Linked DNA regions of Anolis sagrei. The protein of the gene in region 2 purifies or fractionates together with the protein of the main gene of each other region. This does not show direct contact. Links are inferred from orthologs where the notes say so. Each region holds a gene or a part of one and is shown on either strand. Other genes may lie near its edges. The genes, in order: SUFU and CDC25C.

What was found.
Region 1: the proteins of CDC25C (region 2) and SUFU purify together in Homo sapiens (affinity purification with mass spectrometry; 4 studies listed by BioGRID and IntAct, counting the BioPlex papers as one, with this or other methods). This does not show direct contact. The link is inferred for Anolis sagrei from reciprocal best matches to the Homo sapiens genes CDC25C and SUFU.

Annotation. Positions count from the first base shown.
Region 1 is NC_090023.1:215,056,822-215,066,350, reverse strand, and holds the start of SUFU (suppressor of fused homolog), read left to right. Parts: upstream 1-5,046; 5' UTR 5,047-5,217; coding exon 5,218-5,375; intron 5,376-9,529. UniProt on the Homo sapiens protein: Negative regulator in the hedgehog/smoothened signaling pathway. Down-regulates GLI1-mediated transactivation of target genes. Down-regulates GLI2-mediated transactivation of target genes. Part of a corepressor complex that acts on DNA-bound GLI1.
Region 2 is NC_090022.1:76,157,674-76,167,453, reverse strand, and holds the start of CDC25C (M-phase inducer phosphatase 3), read right to left. Parts: upstream 4,005-9,780; 5' UTR 3,775-4,004; intron 2,567-3,774; 5' UTR 2,554-2,566; coding exon 2,366-2,553; intron 1,713-2,365; coding exon 1,615-1,712; intron 659-1,614; coding exon 625-658; intron 1-624. Other genes in the region: oocyte-specific histone RNA stem-loop-binding protein 2-like, read left to right, coding at 4,396-4,448. UniProt on the Homo sapiens protein: Functions as a dosage-dependent inducer in mitotic control. Tyrosine protein phosphatase required for progression of the cell cycle. When phosphorylated, highly effective in activating G2 cells into prophase.

The DNA.
Region 1 (9,529 bases), on a different chromosome or scaffold from region 2:
GGCCATCAAATGCTAATCAAGGTGGTCAGTTGAAACATTCACACCTAGCTCCAGCAGACAAGAGTCCTTTGTCCCACCCTGGTCATTCCACAGATATATAAATCCTTTTTTCCTAGCTCCAACAGACCTCACTACCTCTGAGGATGCTTGCCATAGATGCAGGCGAAACATCAGGAGAAAATGCCTCTAAAACATGGCCATATAGCCCAAAAAAACCGCTACAAGAACCCAACATTAAGAATATTAAATGAGGTGGATCAACCTGTTGCACTGTTACTGATTTATTCATGTTCAGCTCTATTTTTGTCACCAACATGAATTGCATTTTTAAATACTGATTGTACTATTATTAACTGCTTGTCGCACAGTTCAGAAACAATCTAGGTTTCATACATGTCTCCTATTTATTTATTTATAATATTGCATTGCAAAGAAGTCATTATACAAACACATTCCAGACGATGCATGTTGGGCTTGCTACTATGCTAATAATGTAGTATGTTGTATGTACATATGACTTTGTAAGCCGCTCTGACTCCCCTTCGGGGTGAGAAGGGTGGCATATAAATATCATAAATAAATAAATAAATAAATACGTGTCACCTATTTATAGTATTGCATTGCAAAGAAGTTTGTTTCTTGGTTACATCCCGTCTAGACTACTGCAACGCTCTCTACGTGGGGTTGCCTTTGAAGACGGCTCGGAAGCTCCAACTAGTCCAACGCTCGGCAGCCATGATACTAACAGGAGCGGAGCGCAGGGAGCATACAACTCCTCTGTTGCACCAGCTCCACTGGCTGCCGATTTGCTACCGGGCTCAATTCAAAGTGCTGGCGTTGGCCTATAAAGCCCTAAACGGTTCGGGCCCAAGTTACCTATCCGAACGTATCTCTGCCTACAAACCCACCAGGACTCTAAGATCTTCTGGGGAGGCCCTGCTCTCGATCCCGCCTGCATCACAAGCACGGCTGGCGGGGACGAGGGACAGGGCCTTCTCTGTGGTGGCCCCTCGGCTGTGGAACGCTCTTCCCATGGACATTAGATCAGCTCCTACATTAATGGTGTTTCGAAGAAAACTAAAAACCTGGCTGTTTGAACAGGCATTCGGATAAACAGTGCAATGAATACGATGAATATAGGAACGGAATTATGGACGACGAATTGGATCATGATTCTAGCTACGAGATGTTAATGTGTTGTTATTGATGTGTCATCACTTTGTATACTATGCTGTTAATGGTTTTTAAATTGTATGTTGTTATGATTGTCTTTTGGCTCTTGTTGTGAACCGCGTTGAGTCGCCTACGGGCTGAGCAACTGCAGCATACAAGCAAAGTAAATAAATAAATAAATGTTTTTTTTTTCGTGTCAGGAGCAACCTGAGAAATTGCAAGTCGCTTCTGGTGTGAGAGAATTGGCCGTCTGCAAGGACGTTGCCCAGGGGACACCCGGATGATTTTGATGTTTTATCATCCTTGTGGGAGGCTTTTCTCATGTCCCCACATGAGGAGCTGACGCTGATATAGGGAGCTCATCCGCCTCTCCCCGGATTCGAACCTGCGACCTGTTGGTCTTTAGTCCTGGCAGCATTGCAAAGAAGTTATACAAAGACATTCCAGCCAATGCATGTTGGGCTTGACCGCTGATGGTTTATAACTTTAACTTTGTCTTTTCATTTGGAAAATAAAGTAATCTCTATGACCTTAACATTGTATTACACAACAGATGAAACATGTCTTTTCTAAAATATCTTCTGTCTTAGACTCTCATAAGCCATTGCAATGTGAAACAACTTGAAATCGCATTATTTGATCAGCTTAGACTTATATATAATGCAATGCCATGCAATGCAGCTTGAAATTGCATTATGTGTTCAGTGTGGATTCATATATAATGCAGTGCCATGGAATACAACTTGAAATGGCATTATATGGTCAGTGTAGATTCATATATAATGCAGTGCCATACAATGCAGCTTGAAATGGAATTATATAGTCAGCATAGACTCATATATAATGCAGTGCCATGCAATGCAGCTTGAAACAGAATTATATAGTCAGCGTAAACTCATATATAATGCAGTACCATATAATGCAGCTCGACAAGGCAGAGTGTGGACTCATATCTAAGCCAGTGCCATGTAATACAACTTGAAACAGCATTATATGGTCAGCATAGACTCATATATAATGCAATTCCATGCAATGTAGCTTGAAGCAGAATTATATGGTCAGTGTAGTCACATATAATGCAGAACGGCATTATATGAGTCTACCCTGATTGTATAATGCTGTTTCAAGTTGTATTATATGGCACTGGTCAATGTAGACTCATAATGCAGTGCCATGTAATACAACTTGAAATAACAGTATATGGTTGGTGTAGACTCATAATACAGTTTTGCAATATATGAGTCTACACTGAACATGTAATACTGATCAAGCTGCATTACATGGCAATGAAGATGGAGCCCTGAATGAATTTAATTGTTACAGTCACAGACCAAAAGTGTGAAACTTTAAAATTTTAAAAACAGTTTTTTTATTGTTAACACTAAGAACAAAAATTTACAACATTAAAAGTAGGAAGTCTGTGGGTAAAAAAATTAATAAAATAAAACTTTTTCTGCTAAAATAATCTGCTTCCTTATTTTTATAACTGCCGCACAAAACTTAGCCACGCTATAATGAGTGGTGGATCTCTATCCTCTAGGAGATGTTTTAGATAATAGTCTTTTAGAAAACAAGTCTAGAAAATCTCCTTCTCGGCTACAACATTTCTGAGTTGAATTCTGCCTTGGACATGGATCAGTGGCAATTAAGACCCTTTCTATGCAGCCATATAATCCAGATTATCAAAGCACATAATCCAGATTATCTGCTTTGAACTGGATTATATGTGTCTACACTGCCATGTAATGCAGTTCAAGGCAGATAACCTGGATTTTATATGGCAATGTAGAAGGGGCACTACTAGACTTAATGTTGGACACTACTAGAATTAATGTCAGGACAAACCTTTACCTTTACCTTTTATTTACTTATTTATTTCACATATTTGTATCCCGTCCTTCTCACCCCTGGAGGGGGACTCATGTCGGCTTCACAACCGGCATTTATTCAATGCCAACAACAGTAATAAGTGATAAAAGCAATTAAAACAGTTTGTTAATGCTTTAAATTTACTAAAAATTGTTTAAATCACACAGGTTGAAATCATAGTCCAGTTCAGTCCATTGTCATTCACACAAATTGGGACTCATTCTACATTGCTGCCTCTACGTGAATGAATTCCTATGCACACTGCACATATCTTATTTGTAGTACAAAAAAAATAATTAAAATGAAAAACAATTTTAATATAAACTTATTAGTATTTCAATGGGAAGTGTGGACCTGCTTTTGGTTGGTAAGATTGTTGTTGTTGTTGTTGTTGTCTGCTTTCAAGTCGTTTCAGACTTAGGTTGACCCTGAGCGAGGGCCAGGTAAATGACCTTGAAGGGCCGTATTCGGCCGTCGAGCCTTAGTTTGAGGACCCCTGATCTAGACACTATATTCCTATGGAGACATGCCAAAATCTCATTGGCTTTTTTTGCCCTCACATCACATTGTTGGCTCATAGAATCATACAGTTGGGAGAGACCTCATGGGCCACCCAGTCCAACCCCCTGACAAGCAGGTATATTGTATTCAAAGCACCCTTGACAGATGGCCATCCAGCCTCTGTTTAAAAGCTTCCAAAGAAGGAGCCTCCACCACAATCCGGGGCAGAGAGTTCCACTGCTGAACGGCTCTCACAGTCAGGAAGTGACTGTGTTCCTAATGTTCAGGTGGAATCTCCTTTCTTGTAGTTTGAAGCCAAGTCTCCAGGGCAGCAGAAAACAAGCCTGCTCCCTCCTCCCTATGGCTTTCCCTCACATATTTGCTGTCACATCAGCACTTTTAATCCTGTACCCATTACTCTGGCCCGGCCCAGTTTTATTGTGTCTTAGTGTCTTAGTTTATTGCTTGTTGTTTATATTGCTTTAATTGTTTTTAATTTGCCTTAGGTTTTGCATTGTTGCATTGTGTGTGGAGGCCTTGGCCTTGTAAGCCGCATCGAGTCCTTCAGGAGATGCTGTTGTTCATTCGTTCAGTCGTCTCCGACTCTTCGTGACCACATGGACCAGCCCACGACAGAGCTCCCTGTCGGCCGTCACCACCCCCAGCTCCTTCAAGGTCAGTCCAGTCACTTCAAGGATGCCATCCATCCATTTTGTCCTTGGTCGGCCCCTCTTCCTTTTTCCTTCCACTTTCCCCAGCATAATTGTCTTCTCTAGGCTTTGCTGTCTCCTCATGATGTGGCCAAAGTACTTCAACTTTGTCTCTAGAATCCTTCCCTCCAATGAGCAACCGGGCTTTATTTCCTGGAGGATTGACTGGCTGGATCTTCTCGCAGTCCAAGGCACTCTCAGCACTTTCCTCCAGCACCACAGCTCAAAAGCATCGATCTTCCTTCGCTCAGCCTTCCCTAAGGTCCAGCTCTCACATCCGTAGGTTACTACAGGGAAGACCATGGCTTTGACTAGGCGGAGATGCTAGCGGGGTACAAATAAAGTTTAATAATAATAATAATAATAACAATATTTATACATCACCATCATGTCTCCTCTCAGCCTTCTTTTCTTCAGGCTAAACATGCCCAGCTCTTCAAGCTGCTCCTCATAGGGCTTGTTCTCCAGACCCTTTCTCCTTTCTCATTTCATGTTTAACTTGTTGTCCACGAGGACTCCAAGATCTTTTTCACACGCACTGTTCTCGAGCCACGCGTCCCCCATTCTGTATCTTGACAGATATATCTTCATTTCTGCCAGGGATCTGCTGTATAATGGGAGTAATACAAAACAGAGATGGAGCCCTGCTTTCAGTGAACTAGTGAGGAAGGCATGCCTTGCAACGCCTCCCCACTGCCGCTAGGGGTCAGTCACGCAGAAAGGGTGTGTGGAAGAGGAAGGCGGGGCGCGTTGGATCCTCGGAGGACATTCGCCGCGTCGCGATTGGCGGAGCCGCTTGCCCATCAAAGGCGCGGGAGGCGGGAGGAAAGAAAGGGGGATGTCGATGGAGAGCGCGTCTCCTGCCTGGGGTCGCTGAGGGGAGTCTGGAGCCTCCGTTTGGGCCTCGGCTTCCGTGGAGGGGGCTGAGGCGGGCGTGCTTCCTCCCTCCTTCGCTCCTTCCCTCATGGAGACCTCAGCGACCGCCTCTGCCACCTCGGGCCCCACGCCGGGCCCTTTCCCCCCGCTCTTCCCGCCGGGGCTGCACGGGATCTATGGAGAGTGCCGGCGCCTCTACCCGGAGCAGCCCAACCCGCTGCAGGTCACCGCCATCCTCAAGTACTGGTGAGTCAGGCCTCGGGAAGGGGCAGACAAAGGCCCGAGGGGCCTCCACAGGCGCCCCCTTCGCTCAGGCTGCGTCTGGGCCAGCCTGGGCCCTCGAGGTGTTTTGGACTCCAACTCCCACCATTCCTAACAGCCTCAGGCCCTTTCCTTTCACCCCTCAGCCGCTTAAGCGGCAGAGGGGTGAAAGGAAGGGGCCTGAGGCTGTTAGGAATGGTGGGAGTTGGAGTCCAAAACACCTCAAGGGCCCAGGCTGGCCCATGCTTACTTTACACTATAGAATGAATGAGGTTTGACACCACTTGACCTGTATTTTCTGTTGGTCATGGAGGTTTCTGTATAGGAAGTTTGGCCCAATTCTATCCAGGTGAACTATAAATCCCAGCAACTACAACTCCCAAATGTCAAGCTCTATTCCCCCCAAACTCCACCAGTGTTCACATTTCACATATTGAGTATTCGTGCCAAGTTTGGTCCAGATCCATCATTGTTTGAGTCCAAAATACTCTCTGGATGGAGGTGATCTACAACTCCGAAACTCAAGTGTCCACCAAATCCTTCAAGTATTTTCTGTTGGTTGTGGGAGTTCTGTGTGCCAAGTTTGGTTCAATCCCTTCATTCAATTGGTTCAATTCCATCCTCTTCGATTGTAGTTTAACCACAAAGTGCTGGTTTTTACCTATAAAGCTCTTTATGGTTCTGGATCAGCTTAGTTGTCCGAACGCATCTGCCTCTACGTCCCACCTCGTAACTCATCCAGGGAGGCCCTGCTCTCCTTCCAGCCAACATCGCAAACATGGACAAGAGACAGGGCCTTCTCGGCTGTAGCCCCCTGCCTGTGGAACGCTCTTCCAAATGAAATAGGATCGACTCCATCCCTCCTGGCGTTCAGGAAAAAATTAAAATCTTGTTTTTGGGACTAGGCTTTCGGACAATAAACATAAAGCAGCACTTTGACTGGAAATGGATTGGTAAGGCCATATGTATGAGGATATGGTTTTATGGTTCTATCAGTGGGTTCATGGACTGAGTATTGTTTTAATGACTTATGATAATTTGGTTATAATTAACTGCTATTGTTTTAACTCTGTATGTATTTGTGGTTTTATACTGTGTTATTGATTGTGGCATCAAATTGCTGCCTTTGTTAGCTGCTCTGAGTCCCTCCCCCCCCCCCCCGGGGTTGAGAAAGGTGGGGTAAAAATGCAGTAAATAAATAAATAAAATAAACAAACTATAAGTCCTAGCAACAACAACTTGCAGGTGACATAATCAATGCCCCCCCTCCCCCAACCTCACCAGTATTCGAATTTGGGCATGCCAGGTATGAGTGCCAAATTTGATCCAGTGAATGTAAATACATCCTGCATATCGGATACTTACATTACGATTCATAACACTAGCAAAATTACAGTTATGAAAGTACCAACGAAAATAATTTCAGTCGTGGGATCACCGCAATATGAGGAACTGTATTAAGGGGTCGTGGTGTTAGGAAGGTTGAAAAACACTGGTGTAGATGCACACTTGGATTTCTAAAGTGACCAAAAGTTGTTTTCTATTTATGGGAGGGAGGATCTTTTGGAAAGCTCGAGGAAGTGCTTTGAATTCATGGCTGCTGGTGGTGTTTGATTGGGAGGGGGTTGTTTTGATGGAGACATTGAGGGGTTTGAGGATAGAGGGGTCAGCAAGAAAGCTTACATACTTATATTTCTTCTTACATATTGTTGTCCACATTGCTCCCCCCCCCCCCCGATGGTTAAACTGCTGAGCTGCTGAACTTGCAGACCGAAAGGTTGGTGGTTTGAATCCGAGGAGTGGGGTGAGCTCCCACTATTAGTCCCAGCTTCTGCCAACCTAACCGTTTGAAAACATGCAAATGTGAGTAGATCAATGGACTGCTTCTGCAGGAAGGTAACGACACTCCATGCAGTCATGTCAGCCACATGACCTAGGAGGTGTCAGTGGACAACGCCGGCTCTTCAACTGAGAAATTGAGATGAGCACCAATCCTCAGAGTTGGACACGACTGGACTTAATGTCAGGGGAAAACCTTTACCTTTGCATATTGTTGTCTGTATGTGGCATTTGAAGTGCTTCTGTGAGCTGCCCCAAGTCCCTTTGGGGAGATATTGGCAATTAGATTTTCTACTTTTATATTTTATACAGATTTTAGTTGCTGAATGTGTTTTTTAGGAGGCTTGATTGATAAGAAGTTTTAGTTAATGTTGTTTTATTTGTGTATTTTTAATCTGTTCATTTTAATTGGTTTGTCAGTTTGTTTTATCTTGTTACTGCACATTTATGTATTTATTTATTTACCATATTTATACCCTGCCCTTCTTAACCCAGAGGGGACTCAATGTGACTTACATATAGGCAACTATTAAGTGCCTTAGAGCAGCATACAATGAAAATAAAAATTTAAGATTGAAATTAATACACATTAAACAGGTAAAAACATTACATCCATTACGAAAACCACGCCATCCACAATTGTAATCTGGGACTATCCAGTAGTCTTTCTGTAAAGACTTTCTGTATATTTATGTCTTTATTTTGCATATTTCTATCCCATCCTTCTCACCCAGAAGGGGGGACTCAGGGTGGCTTGCAACAGGCAACCATTTCATGCCATCAAACAGATTCATAAATAACAATTGCAATTAAAACAGTAATTAAAATGTTAAATTATTAAAGCATTCATTGAAAATCACACACATTCAAATCCTAGTCCAGGTCAAACCCATTGCCAGTAACATAGGGTCAGTATCAATCTCAATTGCTGCATCTATTGTTTGAAGGCTTGGCCCCATAACCATGTTTTAAGTTATTTTCTTAAAGTTACGGATAGGAGGAAGGGGACTGATCTGATGTCACTAGAAAGCGAGTTCCACAGATGAGGGACCACCACTGAGAATGTCCTGTCTCTCTTCCTCACCAATCGTGTTTGCGAGGATGGTGGGACTGAGAGCAGGGCCTCTCCCCACAATCTTAACCTTCACGGTGGTTCGTATTTGTAGTGAGAGATACAGTTGGGCAGGTAAACTGTATATATTTCAGATTTCAATATTAATGGCAAAAATATGTAGTATGATTTTACATAGGATCTGTACTACATTAGAACAGTAAAGACAAATATCACTTATGTAAAATAAACAGTAAATATTAAATAACAAAAAAAGGTGAAAGTCATTTCACATGTTTCATATCCTTCTATTGCGCTTGTTTGAAGGCTTGATTCCAAAGCCACAATTTCTCTCTTTCTGAAGGCCAGGAAAGAGGGGGCTGATCTTATATCACTGGGAAGGAAGCTCCACGGCTGTGGGACCACTAATGAGAATGCCCTGTCTCTCATTCCCACCAGTCATACCCACGAAGGAGTTGGAACAGAGCAGGGCCTCCCCTGACAATCTTAATCTCTAAGGCGGTTCATAGGGGGAGATGTGTTAGGACAGGTAAGCTGGGCATGGCATTGAATGTTTGCAAATTTGTGTTTTGAAAGTCACCCAGAGTCCCCTTGGGGAGGGTTAAAAATAAAGTTTGTTTTATTATTATTACACTACTAAAAGGGGGTGGCGACTGTGGTATTTATTTGGAAAAAAAAATCATTTTATTGAATACACAACCAACAAATATACAAAAAAAATCCATACAATATCAATATAAACACACCAAACACACTAAAGCAATACCGATCAAACACCTTCAGTTTAGTTTTCCACTTCTCATCATCTTCATTGTCTACTCATATTATTCTTAAACACAAATATATACATTGGTTTTGTTATAAAATAAACACTTGTCATGTATTTACCACATAATATATATTCTGAGGTATTGTCACCTTATTTGCAACAAAATTTATTTGACTGCTTCTAGACTCTACCTCAAGTTAACCAATAGAAAGTTGTGGTACCATAAAATTTCCCAATTCATATCCCACAAATAAAATCACATATCAATCTATTAGTTCTGTTCAGTGGCGTTTGTCTCACCAGTGTTCTTCTTTCCATCACCCCATGTCATTTATCATAAAAATTGTTAGCAGGCAATCTTTTCAGGTTTTTTTAAAGTCAGAAACAACTGCCAGTTATCTTGAAATCTTTGTATTTATTTGTTTTTTAAAAGGCAAGAAACTTTATCAAATACGGCTA
Region 2 (9,780 bases):
TGTCATCTCTAGTCATTTTCCAGAACATCATGAATGACTCTATGGTATTCTTGACCCTTTGGTCCTTAATTTCGATTCTGTTCAATAATATCCATGGATCCACATATCCACACAAAGTCTGGGAACATATCCCTCATGGACATGGGATGATACGACATGTTTTAAAATTTATTGTGTTTAAAATTTTAAGTCTCATTGAGTCCCAATTTTAGGAGAAAAGCTGAATATTAATAAATATAATAAATATAACAATGATATCTCAAGTTGATCAAAAGGTGGCACATAAAATAAAATTCAATACTCACTTTATTCTTATGCTGACTAACTTAGCAAAAAACAAGCCCTCAGTAGCACAGGTAATTGTGTCCTTTCAGATATTTTTGGATTCTAGCTCCCATAATCCTTCACTAATAGCTATGCTGGCCAGCAATGATGGTAACTGCATTTACACAAAAATATCTGGAGGGTCATTGCTGCCCACCCCCAGGTAGGCTGGCATTGCAGGTGCCATCAAAGAGATTTTCACTGAATTTTTAGCCATAAACTCTGATAAATTAAACAACATTGGTTAGCAGAATATATATGGAATCAAGATGTGCTCTAAAATGTGTAGGCAGATCTTACAGTAGATCCTGAAGTTCTCCTGAGTCCTTCTGATCTGCAACAAGAGGGAAAGAAGTCAGCAAAACAACAAAGGAAGGAGTCAGGAGTAAAATACAGCTGATGGGATAAATGTCAAAACAGTGCCTATGTCTACAAATGCAACTTGGTATCCTTCAGATGTTCTGGACTATACGTCTCATAATCTCCAACTACTGGCCGGATTGGCTGGTACTGTATTTAAAACATCTGGATACTCCTAGGTTAGCTATTTATTCATGGAATTACCAGGGAAAGCAAGAAAAAGGACAGCATCAAAGAAAGCTTACTGGTGGTTCACATCTCACCTGAAGCGTTTCAAATACATCTGCAAACTATTTACTGATAGACAATGGTATAAAGGTAATCCAAAACAAAGTACTTCGCTGAAGCTGGATTTTTTTTTTTTTTACAATATGCTTTGAATAGAAAGAGGAAAGTGAAGGCTCTAATTCCTGTGGAAAGTCACATTACCAGGATTAGGCAGGAGATTAAGAGACAATAACTCAGGTTGACCTTGAGTGTCTTAAGGTCATTTCTGATTTATGGCAAACTGCTTTGAGTCCTCCCGGGGTGAGAAAGGCGGTACATAAATACTGTAAATAAATAAATAATAAATAAACTTATCAGAAGGGGTTGAAAAAGATGAGCTGGTTGACAAGACTTGTGATAAGAAAATATATTACCATTAGGTGCATCGACACTATAGAAATAATAGTTGACATCACTTTAACTACCATGGCTTGATGTTAAAGAATCATAGGACTTGTAGTTTGCTGAGGCACCATCACTTTTTGGCTGAGAAGGCTAAAGACCTTGCAGAACTACAGCTTCCATGTTTCAATAGCACTGAGCCATGATTATTGTGATGTCAAACTACATTAAATCTGCAGTGTAGTTGCACAGTTATATTTATTGTGGAAATGATTAAATAGCAGATAGTATCAGAACTGTGTTTCTGGAAGTGATTATTACCATTTTCCAAAGTTTTTGAGGACTGGCTGAAGTTGAAGACAATTTCCTCTTCCCCGTTACTGAGATTGGAAAGATCTAGGCAGCGTCTTGGAGTGTCCCTGCAAAAATATAGTGAAAGGAATAAGTAGATAGAAACACAGTGTATAGAACTCCAGTGTGTTTTGGCTCTGGCAGTGCTGGACCAGAACCTAGGTTAGGAGATCGAGTGTCTAGTTTCCACTGGCCCATAGGAGTCATATTTGCCAACCACCCTGCATGAATACCAAAATTTGTGGATCTCAAGTTCCAGTATATCAGTGGTTCCCAGCCTGTGATCCGTGGACCACCAGTGGTCTGCACAGTTGCAATGAGAGTGACTGGTCTCTTGAAACCCTCTTATAGTACCGAGGCTTATTAAATATGGTTTTCTGTGGGTGAGCAGATGGCAACTACTGGATGGCGTATGTTCTGTACCAGGAACTAGAGCTGATGTGGACTATTCAATGCAATTTTCTGAATCAGCACCCCAAATAACCAAACTGAATCTAAAGTTGACCAAAAACTGATTTGTAACCCTTTTGGTATTAATGTTGGAGAGTGGTCCCTGGTCAAAAAAGGTTGGGAACCACTGCATTATATACAATGGCGCAGTAAAATCAAGGTTTATCTAAAATGGCAAAATCAAGATCTTGGAACCTGTGGATGCAGAATCCATGGATACAAAGAGCTGACTGTATTTTCCATTCCACATAACTGCCCTGAACATATTTACCCTCCTAGTGTGCTGAGGTTCCCAAAATCCCAGGTTATACTCAAGACTGGAGTAAGAGGTAGTTGTGGAGAAAGAGGTGGAGAGATCTCTGATTCCCGGAAAGTATTAAGCACCGTCCTGCAGCCAGATCGAAACCCAAGGTCTGAACGAAGCACATCCGCTTCAGTGGGAGGAATGCTCTCTGACATGATGAGCAGACACCTGAAGACAGACATATACACAACTTACTATTACTCCTTTCCCCCCTACTACAGATTGAGCATTCCATATTCAAAAAACCCAAATCTTCCAAAATTGTCCACACGGGTGGCTGAGACAGGGACATCTGTTCTTCCTGAAACAAACTTTTTCTCATGCACTAAATTAGCAAAAATAATTCCCCTGACAGTACATTGTTCTGCTCCTTTGACACCATTTAAGGCAAAATACAGTTTGAGCATCCCTTGTCTAAAATTTCATAATCCTCTAAAATCCAAAAAGGCCCACCAGGGTGGCAGAGATAGCAACACCTTTGCTTTTTCTGACATTGATTCAATGTACACAAACTTTGTTTCATGCACAAAGTTATTTTTATTTTACAATAATTGCATATAAAGTTCCTTTTTGCCTATGTGTGTAAAAGTACACATAAAATATAAATGAATTTTGTGTTTAAGTTTGGGCCCCGTCACCAAGATCTTTCATTAAAAGGTAAAGGTTGTCCCCTGACATTAAGTCCAGTCATGTCTGACTCTGGGGTGTGGTGCTCATCTCCATTTCTGAGCCGAAGAGCCGCCGTTGTCCATAGACACCTCCAAGGTCATGTGGCTAGCATGACTGCATGGATATTTCATTATGTATATGTAAATATCCTAAAATATGAAATGCTTCTGTTGCCACGTATTTCAGATAAGGATGATTCAACCTGTATAAACAGAAAGAAACAGCACAAGCACTAGAACCACGAATGCATCTATACTGAGCATGGGCAAACTTCGGCCCTCCAGGTGTTTTGGACTTCAACTCCCACAATTCCTGGCCTTAGGCCTTTTCCTTTCCCCCCTCAGCCGCTTAAGCTTAAGCAGCTGAGGGGGGAAAGGAAGGGGCCTGAGGCCAGGAATTGTGGGAGTTGAAGTCCAAAACACCTGGAGGGCCAAAGTTTGCTCATACCCATCTATACTATAAAATTAATGCAGTTTGACACCACTTTAATTGCCATTCCTCGATGCTATGGGATCATGGGAGGTGTAGTTTTGCACACTTTTAGCCTTCTCTACCAAGAGAGCTGGTGCCTCAACAAACTACAAATCCCAGAACTCCATAGCAGTGGTCCAGGAGAATTAAAGTGGTTTCAAACTGAATTAATTCTAGGTGTAGGTGAACCTATGTCCAGCTACAGAGATAAAAGGTATTATATGGTCGAAACCCACCTTAAGGGGTGTCAGTGGTGCTTTAGAAAAGTCAAACCCGTTGGATCTTGTCCACTAACAAGGCTGGCTGGCTGCAGGTTCTGCAATTAAGACAGCAATACGAATTGGCAGCCCCCAGTTCCGCGCAGTCTCAACAAGTCCTTCAAAAAGTCCCCCCTTCCTTGTGGACAAACTGACCCACCCCGCCCTTCCCGTCAAGAACACAATTGAATGTCAGACTATTCAATTTGCCGCCCTAACATCAACCAATCACAAGCCACGCCCTCCGCCCTCCCAGCCAATCAGCGAAGCCCAGAAGAAGAAAAGCTCCGGCTGTCCTTTCAACAGCTTTCTCATTGGTCCGATGCTCGCAGTGACGTCAAGGAGGAGGGCGCGTGGAAAAGCTTATTGGAAGAAGCCGCGGTAGGCGGGGACTTCCTGATCCTTTTTGTTATTTTTCGGCGGTGGAGGATAGCCAACCTGATCCAGTCCAGCCAATCACTGAACAGAGGACTTACCCAACCCGATGCGATTGGTTGGAGATGCGTTCCAGGCTCCGCCCTGCCTTTCACGAGGAGGGAGATTTAAACCGTGGAGGTGGAGACAGACTCCTTAGAACTACGCCGGTGATGTTCTTGGTGGATGATGCAGTGTGGACGAATTGGGACTGAGAGCTGGGCTCCCGGGAGCAGCAGGTAACAGACTGTGGAAGGAGAGGCAGCCTAGCAGTCCTAAACAGGGCTAAGGGAAGATAGTTATTGATTTACGACATTTATATGCCGCCCTTCTCACCCGGAAGGGGACTCAGAGTGGTTTACAAGATATATATATATAGATACATACATACACACACACACACACATATACAGATACACTATATTATGTTATTAGCATAGTACAATTTCAGTATTAAATATTACTATATTGTACTACACCATTATACTTTGGCCACATCATGAGGAGACAGCAAAGCCTAGAGAAGACAATTATGCTGGGGAAAGTGGAAGGCAAAAGGAAGAGGGGCCGACCAAGGGCAAGATGGATGGATGGCATCCTTGAAGTGACTGGAGTGACCTTGAAGGAGCTGGGGGTGGTGACGGCCGACAGGGAGCTCTGGCGTGGACTGGTCCATGAGGTCACGAAGAGTCGGAGACGACTGAACAAATGAACAACAACAACATTAGTAATTACATGTAATATAAATATTTAATTATAATATCATATTATTATAATTATGGAGAAGAGCAAACCACTGACCACCTGCTGCAATGCAACCTGAGCCCTGCTACATGCACAATGGAGGACCTTCTTGCAGCAACACCAGAGGCACTCCAAGTGACCAGATACTGGTCAAAGGACATTTAATCAACTACCAAACCTGCCAATTTTGTTATTTGTCTGTTTGTTTGTTTGCTTTTGTTCTGTTAGAAATGTAATACAATTATCTGGTTGCCCCTGACACGATAAATAAATAATAAATAAATAAATAGTAGTATATTGCATTACATTATATTATTATAAATATTCTGTTAGTCTACATTATATTATATTATACTGCCCTGAGTCACCCATGGGCTGAGAAGAGCAGTATATAAAAATGGTAAATAAATAAATGAATAATATTATATTAATGTATTCTCGAAGGCTTTCATGGCTGGCATCGCTGGGTTGTTGTAGGTTTTTCGGGCTATATGGCCATGTTCTAGAGCAGGGGTCCTCAAACTAAGGCCTGGGGGCTAGATGCGGCCCTCCAAGGCTCCCGCTCAGGGTCAACCTAAGTCTGAAATGACTTGAAAGCACACAACAACAACAACAACAATAATCCTATCTCATGAGCCAAAAGCAGGCCCACACTTCCCATTGAAATACTAAAACGTTTATATTTGTTAAAATTATTCTTCATTTTAAATATTGTATTGTCTTAAGTGTTTGGGTTTTTTTGCACTACAAATAACACATGTGCAGTGTGCATAGGAATTCATTTTTTTTTCAAATTCTAATCCAGCCCTCCAACAGTTTGACAGACTGACCTGGTCCTCTGTTTAAAAAGTTTGAGGACCCCTGTTCTAGAGGCATTTTCTCCTGACGTTTCACCTGCATCTATGGCAAGCATCCTCAGAGGAGTGAGGTCCTCACTACCTCTGAGGATGCTTGCCATAGATGCAGGCGAAACATCAGGAGAAAATGCTTCTAGAACATGGCCATATATCCCAACAAAACCTACAACAACCCAATATTATATTATATATTATATTATTAGCATAGCACAGGAGACAAGGTGGAACTGCCCCCTGCCCCCCTCCTCTTCCCTTTTCCCCCTAGTTTTGAGGTGCATCTACTCCAGGCATAGGCAAACTCTATTATTTATTTATTTATGATATTTCTATCCCGCCTTTCTCAAAGCCGAAGGTGACTCATGGTGACTCAGCCGCTTAAGCGGCTGAGGGGGGAAAGGAAGGGGCCCGAGGCTGTTAGGAATGATGGAAGTTGAAGTCCAAAATACCTGGAGGGCCCAAGTTGGCCCAGACCTGATCTACACTGTAGGAATAAGTGGAGTTTGAGGCCACTTTAACTGCCATGGCTTGATGCTATGGAATCATGGGAACTGTAGCTCAGTGAGGCTCTAGAGCTCTGTTTGGTAGAAAAAACCTAAGATCTTGGAAAACTACAACTCCTAGGTTTCCATAGTCTTGAGCCATCGTGGTTAAAGTGGAGCCAAACTGCATTAATTCTATAGTATAGATGCACACATGTGCCCCAAATAGCCTTAACCTGTGATGCCTTTGGAACTTCAACTCCCTGAAGTCCCAGCCAGTTTGGCCTATTGTCAGGGATTCTGGGAACTCTAGTCCAAAATACCTGGAGGACCAAAGAGTGAGAACCACTGGTCTAAACTGGACAATTGGGTTTTAGCAGGGGCTCAAAATAGTAAATGTTTGTTTTCTAGTTGCAGGAGAAGAAATGTCCTCTAACTCTGGCTAAAGACTATTTGTGTATTGGGAGAAGAACCTAGCAGTAATCATTTGAAATTCTATGCCCCACCTTTTCAAGTAGGAAGTGTTTCATTTATGGGTAGTTTCTGATAGCAGATCGTGATTTCAAATCAGGTGCATCTTTTTGAAACATCCTGCATTTTAAACAAGCACTAACTTGTGGAAAGAATGGATGTAAGAAGCTCCTCTGCTCCTTTCGGACTAATTCTAGTTTTGCTTTTCTTAACAGCATCATTTCTCACCATAAGGATGGTTACATTTAAGGCTTTGTTCCTGTTATGAACAATATAAAAAGTGGTGAAAAGTTAGTCTGGAAATTGGCTTTTCAATTTTGTTTTTATTGTCTGGACCAGGGGTCCACAAACTTTTTAAACAGAGTTTTTTGGCCTAGAACTCCCAAACATGAATGCCTATGCACACCGCACATATCTTATTTGTAGTGCAACACCCCCCCCCCCACACACACACACTTAAAAACAATACAATAATTAAAATGAATGATTTTTAATATAAACTTACTAGTATTTCAGTGGGAAGTTTGGGCCTGCTTTTGGCTGATGAGATAGGATGGTTGTTGTGGTTGTTGTTGTGTGCTTTCAAGTTGTTTCAGACTTAGGTTGACTCTTAGTGAGGGCCAGGTAAATGATGTTGGAGGGTTGTATTCGGGCCCCGGGCCTTAGTTTGAGGACCCCTGGTCTGGACCAACACAATATCTGCGACTTGTTACTCATTTACAGGAAACTGCTTGGATGATCATCTTATGCATTGGGTGTTCATAAAACAAATGTCTAACCTTAAGAGCTGCAGCTCACTGCTAGTATGTCACCTGTTTTTGAAATAGACTAGTAGATCACCAAAATAGGGGTAGGATGAAAAAAGACGATGAATATTTGTTGTTTGCCTTCAGGTTCTTTTTGACTTATGGTGATCTTATCATGGGGTTTTCTGTGGCCAAAAAGGGAACTGAACTCTGGTCTTCAGAGTAATAATTCATAGGTGATCAGTTGTGGCGGAGTAAGATAGTCTTCCAAGGGTAAAGTCTTGGTGGTGGTTCCATAACTGACTGTAGACACCTGTTCTGGATGCTCATGGTTGTTCACAACGAGGACACAGATTTCCAGCAGGAAGGCGGTCACAGCAAGGGTTTGCTTGATGCACCTTCCTTGGTGCATTTCTCCTTTTCGCTTTCTGTTTGAACCTCATTGAATTCACAGCACTGTTGGTAACAAGCTGACCTCCAGTCGAGGAATGCTTGAGGACCAGGGCTTCCCAGTTTTTTGTGTTTGTTCCACATTTTTTTAAGATTAGCTTTAAGCCCATCTTTAAATCTTTATTTGCTGTCCACTGACATTCTGTTTTCCATTCTTGAGCTGAGACTAAAGTAACTACTTTGGGAGATTGTGACTGGGTATTCAAACAACGTGGCCAGCCTAGCCAAGTTGATGGAGGACCATCACTTCAGTGCTGGTAGTCTTTTCTTCTGCCAGAACACTGACATTTTCTGCCTGTCTTTCCGAGCAATTTGCAAGATTTTTTTTGAGGCAATGCTGATGGAATCTTTCAGAAGTTGAGAGTGGCATTTGTAGACGGTCCATGTTTCACAGTAAACGGTCAATAGCTTTGTAAACAAGCATCTTGTTCTCCCTACAAATGTCCTGATCTTCAAACACTCGTGTTTCATTCAAAAACTGCAGCACTTGCAGAGCTCAGACAGTGTTGCACTTCATTCCAATGCTCAGACCACTCTAGGTTCATAGACCACTTCACCATGCTGAATATAGCATGGCTATAAACATCAACAATGCCCCTCTTTGGCTTTGGTTCTGTTATGTGCCTTCTAGTCACCTGTCAACTTACCATCACCCCATGAATCTCATAAGGTTTTCTTAAGGAATCCTCAGAGGTGGTTTTGCCAGTTCCTTCCTTTGAAATAGAGCCCACAACACCAGGCATTGGTAGTCTCCCATCCAAGTATTCATCAGGGCTTGCTCTGCTTAGCTTCCAAGCTCAAAAAAGATCTGGCACCTTTAGGATATTTGGTAGGTTTGCTTAAATGTATAACAGCCTTGGCTGCCAAATAGAAACTGGCATACCTGCTGAAAATGTTGAAGCAGAGAAGGTTACAGTTATTGATTTTAGCTAATAAATACGTTCAGGAAATGTTTGATGTTTCAGAATTTTGAGTTGGGAGAAAGAAGTACCGTATTTTCCGGCATATATGATGATCCCCAACTTTTCCAGTTAAAATATAGAGTTTGGATATACTCGCCATATAAGACTGCCCTTCTTCCAACGTACGCACTTGCTGCTTTCATATAGTCGCCGCATACGGCGGGGATGCAGACGCAGCTGTTTTTGAGCTCCCCCAACCATATGTGGCGATCGCAGATTCTCCATTCCAGCTTGGAAGTTTCAGCACCTGCCCTATAAGATGACACCTGGTGTATAAGATGGCCCCCGACTTTTGAGAAGATTTTCCTGGGTTAAAAAGTAGTCTTATATGCCAAAAAAAAAAAAAAATACAGTACCTGTATTTACCCCAGTCTTAATTTGCTATTGAATCTAATGCGCACCTCAATTTTCAAAAACGTGAAACCAAAAAAAGGATTTGTTGATGAATGTAAGGTGCACTCTTTGTAAAATGGCCATTGCAGTTGGTGCCTGCTTGGACTTCCTTCATTAAAAACAATTGTGTTGAAACACCGAAGCTTCCAGTAATGGAAAAGAAAACCTTGGTGCATCTATGCTGTTGAATTAATGCACTTTAACTGACTTGGTTCAATGCTATGGAATCATGGGAACTATAGTTTTACAGGGCATTGAGGCTTCTCTGAAAAAGAATGCAGATGCCTCATCAAGCTATAAATCCCAGGATTATATATAATTGAAACATGGCAATTAAATGAGAGAAGATGTATCTCAATTAGAAGTTCCAGGTGTGTCTGAAGCAGCTTCCCCCTTTTGCTTGGCTCAGCACCAAGATTACCCTATTACACGAATTTAATGAGCACCCTAATTTTGGCAAGGTAATTCA